Linked DNA regions of Caenorhabditis elegans. The protein of the gene in region 1 purifies or fractionates together with the protein of each later gene. This does not show direct contact. Each region holds a gene or a part of one and is shown on either strand. Other genes may lie near its edges.

Region 1 (5,280 bases):
CCATATCACGTGCTGGTTGCAAATGCATCTTACAGTAATCAATCTTGTGGGATTGGGTGACATCTTCGAGTTCTCCGTCTGAAAATGAAATTCCGAAATGTTTCTTATTATTTGCATTTAAAACTTACCAGCATTGTTTTGGCTGATGGTTATGGTGAGATCTGGAACCATAGCTTGTCCAACCTTAACCATGTGTTGATTACTTTTGAGTTGAGACGAAGCAGAGATTGAAAGAGTTGGTTCAGCGGCTTGTTGAACAAAAACGTATCCTTTGCTGGATGGTAGCTTCATCTTCTTGTCATCTTGTTTGCAAGTAACCTCAGTCTCAACAAGGAAAACACGGTGTCCTGGAGCTGGTTTCTCTTGAGTGTTAACATAGGCAACTCTCTTGAGCATTTGACCAATTTGCTTTGATGTTTCAGCCTTCAATGTAAGAGAGGTTTGATCTGGAGAGAATGTTGCACTTTGGCTTTCAAGAAGCTCATCAACTCCGGTGAACTGAAGTTGTTCTGGGCAAGTATGAGCGCATTTTATTGCACGTTCACTTTCAACAGCTCCAGAGAGAAGATAAAGAGAGGAAAGTTGTCCACGGAAGAACTGTGCAAGTTTCTGTTGCCGTCCGTGCCAGCACGCTCCTACAACAAGTTTGGTCTTTGTTGCCTTGGTCTTGTGAAGCGGCCAATCGTCGAGGATTTCAGGATTTCGTTCGTCAGCCTTAAAGCTCTTTCCATCGACGATAACATTAACATCATCGATGCCATTGAAGAGAAGTGAATATGAATGCCACTCATTATCGCATACTTCTGGCATTGACCAACGCCATTCAGCAGCACGGAAGTCTGAAGTGGCTCCAGCTTCACGGCGGAGAACAACCTCCAATTTGCAGTGACGAATGTAGACAGAGAAGTGATGACGGTTCATGTCTGAAAACACATATTCACTGGTTGTTTCTAAAAGAGATAACTCACTGAAATCATCACTTTCGCAAAGAATGTTCTGCTTGTTACTTTGCTCGTCCTTAGTTCCTGCAGCATGTTTCATGGAGAAGCTCAATGTGAAGTGATCCGGAATGAGTCCTTGATGATTTTCATCAGAGACAGTCACTCCTCTGGCTCCATCAAACTCAATTCCTTGATCAGCAAGAATCTGATTCTCAGCCGAGCTGGTAAGGGCTTCTTCGTTCAGCAATTTGACAGTAGCAGTTGAAAGTCCACAAGATTGAATTGTCTGATTATCATAGACAGTGTCTCTTGCACAACCTTGAGTAACGTGTCCAGCACGAAGTTCAATGACTGACTGCACACTCTTTGGTTCACAAATTGTTTCCTTTTCACAGAATTCAAGAGATACGTCTGGGAGGAGAAGCTTTGATCCAACTCCTGGAGCATAGTTGACACGCTCATTCATTGCAGTGATTCCTTGAACACATTTCTCATCAACGTGAACAGTGACCAGAGAACTTTTGCTTTTCCTCATTGCGCAGTCAATAGCGACTACAGTGAGAATGTATGATTTTGATTGAGTAAAGTTGAGTGGCTGAGTTGTACGAAGGACTCCATGATTGTTAATGGCGAACGGAAGTTCCTTAAGTCCATTTGTGATCTCATATTCACAGATTTCTCCGTTTGGATGTCCACAGTCTTTGTCAGATGCCTTCAGTACTCCAACTTCCTCAACAACTTTTCCCTCTTCCACGTGGAATGTGTACCAAGGGTTTTCGATTTCTGGAGCATGATTGTTGGTGTCCTTGACACGGATCTTCAGAGACACTCCTTCACTCTTCACATTGTCGTTATCGCATTTCACAGCTTGAACTTGAAGATTGTATTCTGGCTTCTTGCAGTCTAGTGTGGCAGCATCCTGAATAATAAATGTTTGAACTTTAATGGTGACTCATCAAGAATTAATTTTCTTTAGAAATATTGAATAAAGTTTAATGAAAATTCCTTCTAAGAACACATTGATTTTTAAGCTTACAAAACGGTTTTCCACTAATTATCTGATACACACGAATTAAAATATGAATACTGGAATTTTCATTAGATGCCTATTCTCCAAAAATACATTATGACATCATGTCTCACCTTAACTCGAAGTACAGCTGCTCCAGTGTACTTATCAACAACCTGGATGTCGAATGGCACTGGCTCATTGTTCTGTGATGTAAGGAGGTAGTTGCATACTGGCCCTGAAAATTCCCTCAAATTGTATTCGCTTTATTTTTGTTTCAATTTCAAATTGTGGATAGATATTCCAATTTTTCTAGCTTGTCTTTCATTCCATCACCCGTCTTTTTCAATTCATGCTCTCTCGAATCATCGGCTGTCATGTCATGTCATAGTTAATCCCTCTTCTTTTCTCTTTCTTTTCCACGTCAATCCCTTCGTGTTCTACATCGTCGTCGTCGTCGTCGGTGGCTCGTAATCCTGTGTGTGTGTGTATGGAGCCAGGCTGACAACGACAACGATGCTTCATCATCAAAGAGAAAACAGAGAAAATGCGTGAAAAGAAGAAGAAACATGAAAAAAGAAAACGAAACAATTAATGAGAGGCTGCATTGCTTTTTCGATGAGATTTTTGTGCAAATGAGGTGGGCATGTCAGGAAGGAAACACGAGGGAAAAGAAGAAGATTGAGAATGTAAATGCCATGAATACTAATGAGCATGATTATTTAAAGGAAGTAGCTGAATTTTTGTATTTCTCTAATTAGGTTTGTTAGTTTTCACACCTTCAATTAGGAAAAAGGAAAACTATAAAATTTAATTAAAGTTTCTTGTGATCTAACAAGCCGGCTTGATTATAAACATATCTATATGAATCATGATTTTTAATCGTAAGAGCTGAAAACAATTTATTTTAATCTCCCAACTCACCGGTTTCAGAGAGGATTGCAAAATCCGGCACGGTCGAGATAATGTTCTCATCTTCTCGCACGACAGCCACAAGCTCTTCGGCTCCTTGCAGATTGATTATTGGCGCTGAAAATAGATTGGAATTTAAGAACTAACGGCCAATAATCTGTAAGTGTTACCTCGAGCAGCATGGTGATGTTTGGCGTAGGAGACGCCTAGAAGGGCGCCGACAAAAATAAAGTACGCAGTTCGCATATGTGGGTTTGAGTAAGAGAGCCTGGTTGGAATTTGCGTCTGAAAAATGATTGGTTTTGTGTGCGTGAGTAGAGGTCTGCGAGCAGAGAAGGTGAGAAGAAAATAATTGAAGGAATAAGGAAATAACAAAAAGGGCAGAAAAATGAGAAAATGTGTTGAGTGAATGGAGGAAGTAAATGTGGATGTGTTTGGAAAAAAACAGACTAACAGTCTTAGTGGAATGATAAAACTCTAGGCTTTTGGGTATCTGTAGATTTTAAATACCGGAATTTTCAATAAGATAATTGAGTGGAGATTAACCCACCGATCAAAATTCTACGGATTTCGTATTTCTCTGGATTAAAAAAATATTTTTTTGATTTAGATTTAGATTTTTTATTGAAAGAAATTGTGATGATATACAAAACAATGTGTTCAAAAGACGGAACCACATTTTTTCTATCTCTCTCCCTGTCCACCACTACTTCATGCCTCAATCATTTTCCACCCTCACACGTCATTTTTCCGACTTTTTTCTTTTTTGTGAAAATCGTTTCAGCTCTGCAGCTCCTGGCACTGGTCACGCCATAGTTTTCCGGTAAGCCGTCAGGAGCACTAACATTTCGAAATGAAATGGTGGATGGCACGAGCGAGAAAAAAGAAAATGCGGGGAATTTTTCAATTAGGTGTCAAGGAAAGGTTTGTTTTCGGCTGCTTTCTTGAGCTTTTTCTTGAGCAGCGGGTCTTCTCATTCTTATTCGTGCGTCTACTCAACACCGACTATAAATAAATGGCAATATTGAATATGAGAATTCGTTGAAGAGGCATCATTATTTTGATTTAAAACTTCAAAGATCCAGGATTTAGTTTTAAAATGTTTTGGGATTTGGAGTTTGAAACAAAACGAGGGTTGAAATCTAAGAAACTGGAAAAAGTAGAATAAAAAAGAAAAGGAGGAAGAAAGGCAAACGAACAAAATCTGACGTAGATAAATAGCTGTTTTTTCAATGAAAATATGATTGAATTCTAGAAAAAGATTCTAGAAACGAGAAAAAGTGGCTGGAACGGAATGTGAGCCTTGTTGAAGCTGAGAAAGTAGAGCACGAGAGTCAGCATCTGCTCCTCCTACTCATACCATCTAATCTCCTCTTCACATCCGATTATCAGAAAATGAAATATTGAGTGCTGGGGGAAGTTAAGAAAATGAGAAACCAGAGAAAACATTGAGCTGGTTGTCATGGTTTCATGTGGGGAGCTCAGTCGGCAGAGTGAAGTGAGGCACGAAGAAAAAAAACGCCAAAAGAAATCTGAGAATAAGCAAAAGAATGCGAAGAGACAGAAGTTCTTCTTATTCTTCTTTCTTCAAGCATAACATGTGTGGTTTGAATTGAAAATTAGGTAGAAAAAGGGAAGAACCGAACATGCAAAAATCAAGGGTTGAAAAAGGGAGGCAAGAAGGGGAACAAGAAGAAGAAGAAGTTGAGAGTTGTGAAGACAAGCATGCATGTGTCAATAGAGGTGGAGCATTCGAAAGACGAGGCAAACGGAAGAGGAAGGACGCCGCCGCGAAGGGGACGGAGTACGACGAATAAGTCAAATGCTTACAAGATAAAAGGATGATGATCATGATTATGAGTCAACGAGGTCAATCATGTCAAATGGAATATTGATTGATTGAAACAGTCCCAGAATTGGTGTAAAGAAATTGGTGTAACAAGTTAGAATTTAACAACAAAGATGATCAGCACTAGTTCGTATGGATATGCGATACATTTATTTTACCAAGCAACAAAAAACATGAATTCTTGGATTAAAAAATAAGAAATTTTGAAAATATCCAATAAACTTGTATGTGGATTTTTGGTTTTTTTTAGCAAGACATTCTTGGAAAGAACCCAAAAATTCTATGAAATTCGCATTCCTGCTATTAGGTTTAAACAAAAGTTATATTTTTAGTCGATTCAGAGGAAGTACGGTATACGAAAAAGGAGTTTCTAAGATAATTTAATTCATTCTTACTACATTATTTAAAGTATCCGAAAATAGATCAATCTTCAATATTTTCAATTTACAGCTGCTTCAGACTTTTTTTTGTAAATTGTTGTTATCATGGAATGAACTTTTGGGATTTTTGCATTGTTCGCAAATACATATCCGGTAGTAATATTAAACAGTTCCTCGAATTCGAAAACG
Region 2 (4,998 bases), on another chromosome or scaffold:
AATTGGTGGCCGAGTTTTATTTTTTAAAGAAATTTTTCAGTACTTTTGATTAGAATGGACGAGAAAAAATTGGTGGCCGAAAAAAAATTGATGGCCGAGAAAAATTGGTGGCCGAGAAAAAATTGGTGGCCAAGAAAAAATAGGTGGCCGAGAAACATTGATGACCGAAAAAACAATTGGTGGCCCAGAATGGTGGCCGAGTTTTCGCAACTTTTTTCGTTGTGAAATTTCTTTATTTTTTTCTCCTTTCCCTGTCTCCTTATCGAACACAAAAGTTCAAAGAGGACATGAGAACCGTCTCAATTGCCTGCACACATGACTCATCTCTATACAACAGAAAAAATTTCGAAACGAAAAGAAGTTCCTGTAAAATATGAAATTTTTCTTGTTCTGTGCATTTTTTTCATGGCAAAAAATTCTATGCCAAAAATAATATTGAAAAAAAAATCAATTAGCAATAAAGTTTCGGTGGCCTAGTTCTACTGGCCTAAAATTTTCAAATTGCACTTCTGTGGCCTAAAATTCTAATTTGCCACTGAAAATTATAGGCCACCAGGGCAAAACTTATGACCTAGAAAACCTCAGTGGCCTAGAATTTTCTAAAATATGAATGTGACTAGATATACAATTTTTTTAAAAATTTCGTTTTGTACTCCTCTCGGACAACCAAAATAATTTTTTTCCATATTTTTCTCTCCAAATCTGCCATTATTTTCCCACACTTTCTCCACCATATTTCTTTTTATATTTTTTTGTGTTTCATTTTTTTTGTCCCCCTCCTCCGATTCTGATGATTTATTAAACATACGTTTCGTGACATTCCCTCGCCCCGCCCATTTTGCCACCCCTGACGAGGACCACTAAGCCCTTCATTTAACCCCCCCCCCCCCACATATTCTAGTACTTTATGAGAAGCTTAACCTTTTGTGGGGTGGTCCCAAAAAAAAGTGCAGAATTTTTTTGGGAAAAAAATTTGAAAATATTTTTGTGAAAATTTTTGAAAATATTTTTATTCAAAAATATCAGGTGTTTAAATTAAAAATACATTACCTTATCTGAAATTTGAATTCCCACCAAAATTTGCTTTTGAACTCCTCTCGGAAGACCCGAAAATTTTTTTTTACTTTTCTAGATTTATTTTTTTAATTTTTCTACTTTTTTTCTTCAAAAATACCAATTTTCAAACTCCTTACTTTTCTGAAATTCAAATTTCCATCAAAATTTTAATTTGAACTCCTCTCGGACAATCGAAAAAAAAATTCAAATTTATTCGAATTTTTACTCATTTTTTAACGTTTTCATTGAGAAATAAATTTACTAAATCGAAATTTTTTAAAACCTAAAATCAAAATTAAATTTTGAAGACCTCTGGGAGAATCAGAATAAAATTTAAAATTTTTAAAAAAATAAATGTGGGCTCCTCTCGGACAATCTTAGCTTCCACCTCCTCCGAAATTTTGAAATATTAATAATTTTTGAACATTATTCCTTCTTCACCATGTCAACTTCATATTCTTTCCATTTTTCCGTTCCGCTTCCGTGCTCTCCAGGGTTCATGCTCCTGGCTCCCCGGAAATGCACGATTATTTGGGGGAATATGTATCGAAACTTTTCATCTGCCCCTCCTCCTCCCTTGAGCCCTGCTTTTATCTTTTGAGTTCATACTCTTTTTTTTTTCAAAAACCCCACTCAAAATCTTCCATTTCAGGTTTCAAATCTCCCACTTTTTTTTCTTCACTTGCTCATCAAAAATGAGCAGCGAGAGGCGGAAGGACAATCCGCTGCGCTTCGCTCTTATTTTACATTTGTTAGCGGTTTTAGTTCAAGGTGAGCTTTTTTAGCAACTCGTTGTGAGGCCCGGGTAGTAGAGGCGGCCAAAATTACGGTACCTGGTCTCGCCACGACATTTTTTGTTGCTTGGAAAAAAAGTGTGCGCCTTTAAAGGGTACTGTAATTTCAAATTTTCGTTGCTGCAAACTTTAAACTTTTCCGGCAAAAAATTGTTTTTTTTTAAACTTTTTAGAAAAATTACCGATTTTTTGAAATTTTTCATAATTTTTTCATAAATGTTCTTAAAATATATACTTTTTTTGAATTCTTTTTGGAAAAATATAGGTTTTTTTAGTTTTTATATGGCAAATTATCGATTTTTCTTTTCTTTTTTTAATCGAAAAAGTATCGACTTCAAAAAAATTTCGTTGCAAAAAGCTTCGTTGTTTTTTTTTGAAATTTTTATCGAAAAAAATTATTACCCAGACGGTGCGTTTTTGCCCCAAAAATACGGTATCCGGTCTCGACACGATAAAGCAAAAATATGTGCGCCTTTAAATTTTTTATGCTCATCAATTTTTGTTAATTTTTCAATTGAAAAAATGTGTTTAGGCTATAAAAAAGAAAATGAAACCACATAAATTTTAAATCGTGAATTCCGCAGAATTTCAAAGCTACAGTACTCTTTAAAGGCGCACACCCGTTTACATGTAGCAAAAAAATTGTCGTGGCGAGACCGGGTACAGTATGCAAAAATCACAAAACTTGATAATGGGGTAATAACCGCATGGCTCAGTAGATAGTGGCTCCGGTTAACACTCAAAAGGTCACAGGTTAGACCCCCTTCGCATCAATGCAATTTTCTCTTCATTCCAGGTGATATTCAACCCCGTTTCTCATGCTATAATCACTATTTGGCGGGAATCCGAACAAGTTCTGTACTTCCTATATCCGGTCACTCGTCAGCCCCGTCAAATGTCAAGTGTATATTCGAGAATGACGTGGCATTCACAGAAATCCACTCGGCACTCGAAAATTCGTATCAAGTGATGGGAAAGAAATCTGTCAATTTTCAGTGAGTCTTTTTTGTTTTGGATCATCTGGATCTGGGATCTAGACTTCCTAAAATATTTTTTAAAAAACTATTTACAGAGTTCTCGATTTATTCCACCTTCGGGAGCTTGTTAGGAGGTCTCATTGCACGCAGACTCTCACTGTAACCTGGAAAAATGTCCCAGAAGCTGGAAAAGGAGGCCTTAAAGTTGTTTCACTGCTCAATGAGACTACAAGGATCGAGTATAGCGGAGGTTTGTGATTTAAAGGCGCAAGGCGGAAACCTGGATTTTGTCGGCTGCTCCGAGTGGCGCAGAGAGCAGTCCTAGACAAAAGTCGGCTGCTAAGCTTACTTATAAAGCATCAAGTACCCCACAGTGCAAATGCGCTCTACTGATAATTTTTTGTTTTGTTTTGTAGTCGGTGACGACATGCTCCCAATTAATTTATGTTTGAATTTTAGAATAAATTAAAAATATATAATACTTTTTCAAAAAAAATTTGAATTTTTGTGTCAGAGCGGGCACGGAATTCTGGCTTCCCTTATAAATCGAAATGGCAAGTTTGCCGAACTAGGCCATTTTGGGTCGGACAGATTTTGTGTAGATTTACGGCGCGTTGCGTGTCGCGTCGCGGCTCGTGTTTGGTTGTAAAACTGATGTATTTGTCCGTGTGGAGTACACGACACTTTTCCACGCGTTGTCCGGCAGGCGATTGTCAATGGAGCGCGAAAAATTCATGAGGAAGGCCAGAACCCCGTGAGCGGGGAGGCAAATTTTTGCAAATTATTCTCGAAAATGCTCCCCTAATTTTTTAAAATTTGAAAAACAAAGTGACCAAAAAATTCTCTAATTTGAGGAAAACCTTTTTTATCAAAACTTGTTTCAACCGGGTTATGCTTTTTGTACAATAGAGCGCATTTACACTGACGTATCCATTTTTTAACGTCAAAATTTCTGTAGAAAATTGTGGAAATATAAATAAGTTGGAATTTACCAAAAAAAGTTAATTTTCTAGATGAACGTCAAGACTTTCTATTCGACGAAACATTCGCAGGAGTTCGTCACTTGATTCCTGATGAAGATGACAACGAATCCAATCCGACAGTAACTACAACTCGACTTTTATGCAAACACATCCCTCAACCCGAATGCCTTGTTCGCGGCAAATTCGAAGTTGATTTGGAGGCGAATTTGGAGTGGAGCTATGCGTTTTCTTTCAAGACTGACATCACAAATCAGACACTTTTCACACTTCGATGCGGTGATACTACTTCAGAAGTTCGACTTGAGAACGACTTTTTCATTCGAGCAGATGGGAATGCTCCTGTTGCAGTTACACATTTATCAGATGCCACATGGCATACTGCAATTGTGAAGCATAACCAACCGGATAGTCATTTCTTGAAAATTGATGATTTTCCGGAGATTGAACTGGGTAAATCGATTAGTGATGATACCGATAAGTGAGTTTTTGAAAGATTAAAATATTTGAATTGGAAATTTTAGAAAATGAGTTTAGGGATCAATTGTAACTGTTAAAAATTAAATGTAACTTCTTGAAAACATCTCAAAAAAAAGTTATGATGGCTCAAAAAATGGCCTAAAATTAGTTAAAATTTGAAATTTGACCGACTTGCCAAGCGGCTGGAAACTAATTTTTTTGAAATTGCCGTCAAATTTTGAGTATACAATTTAATTATCTTGGGTTTTCAACTCGATTTAGGTATTTTAACATCGATGGACGGTGAGATTTGGTTTTAAAAATTTAAACAAAAGTTTTCAATAGTTATATTTAGTTTTGAGTTCTTTTAAAAAATTTTTAATGTAATTTTTAGACTTTTTCCTTCCAGAACAATTACACTGAGTATCTCAGTTAACGGAAACATCCAACTTATCGATCCAACAGACACCAATGACGATTGTATGTACAGTTTTGACAAACCACAGAAAAGACTGCAGGAGTGAGTTTTTTCGCATTGAAATATGCTTCTTAAAATTGTTTTAACTTTTCCAAGAAAGTTATTCAATATCCTTGGCAAGTTAAACAGAAATTTCGGGAAAATTTAGGTCCGCTTATAAAAAACAGAATTTTTATTAAATGATTTATCGTCAAATTCGGCAAATCGGCGAATTGCCGGTTTGCCGGAAAATTTGATTTCCGGCTATTTGTAAT

What was found.
Region 2: the proteins of casy-1 (region 1) and bam-2 purify together in Caenorhabditis elegans (affinity purification with western blotting, with the first as the bait; one study listed by BioGRID). This does not show direct contact.

Annotation. Positions count from the first base shown.
Region 1 is NC_003280.10:5,953,537-5,958,816, forward strand, and holds the start of casy-1 (Secreted calsyntenin-1), read right to left. Parts: upstream 3,148-5,280; 5' UTR 3,109-3,147; coding exon 3,033-3,108; intron 2,980-3,032; coding exon 2,875-2,979; intron 2,189-2,874; coding exon 2,085-2,188; intron 1,861-2,084; coding exon 969-1,860; intron 924-968; coding exon 129-923; intron 79-128; coding exon 1-78. UniProt on the Caenorhabditis elegans protein: Cell adhesion molecule involved in associative learning and memory.
Region 2 is NC_003279.8:2,954,621-2,959,618, reverse strand, and holds the start of bam-2 (Neurexin-related protein bam-2), read left to right. Parts: upstream 1-1,708; 5' UTR 1,709-1,751; coding exon 1,752-1,827; intron 1,828-2,646; coding exon 2,647-2,845; intron 2,846-2,922; coding exon 2,923-3,077; intron 3,078-3,840; coding exon 3,841-4,288; intron 4,289-4,675; coding exon 4,676-4,786; intron 4,787-4,998.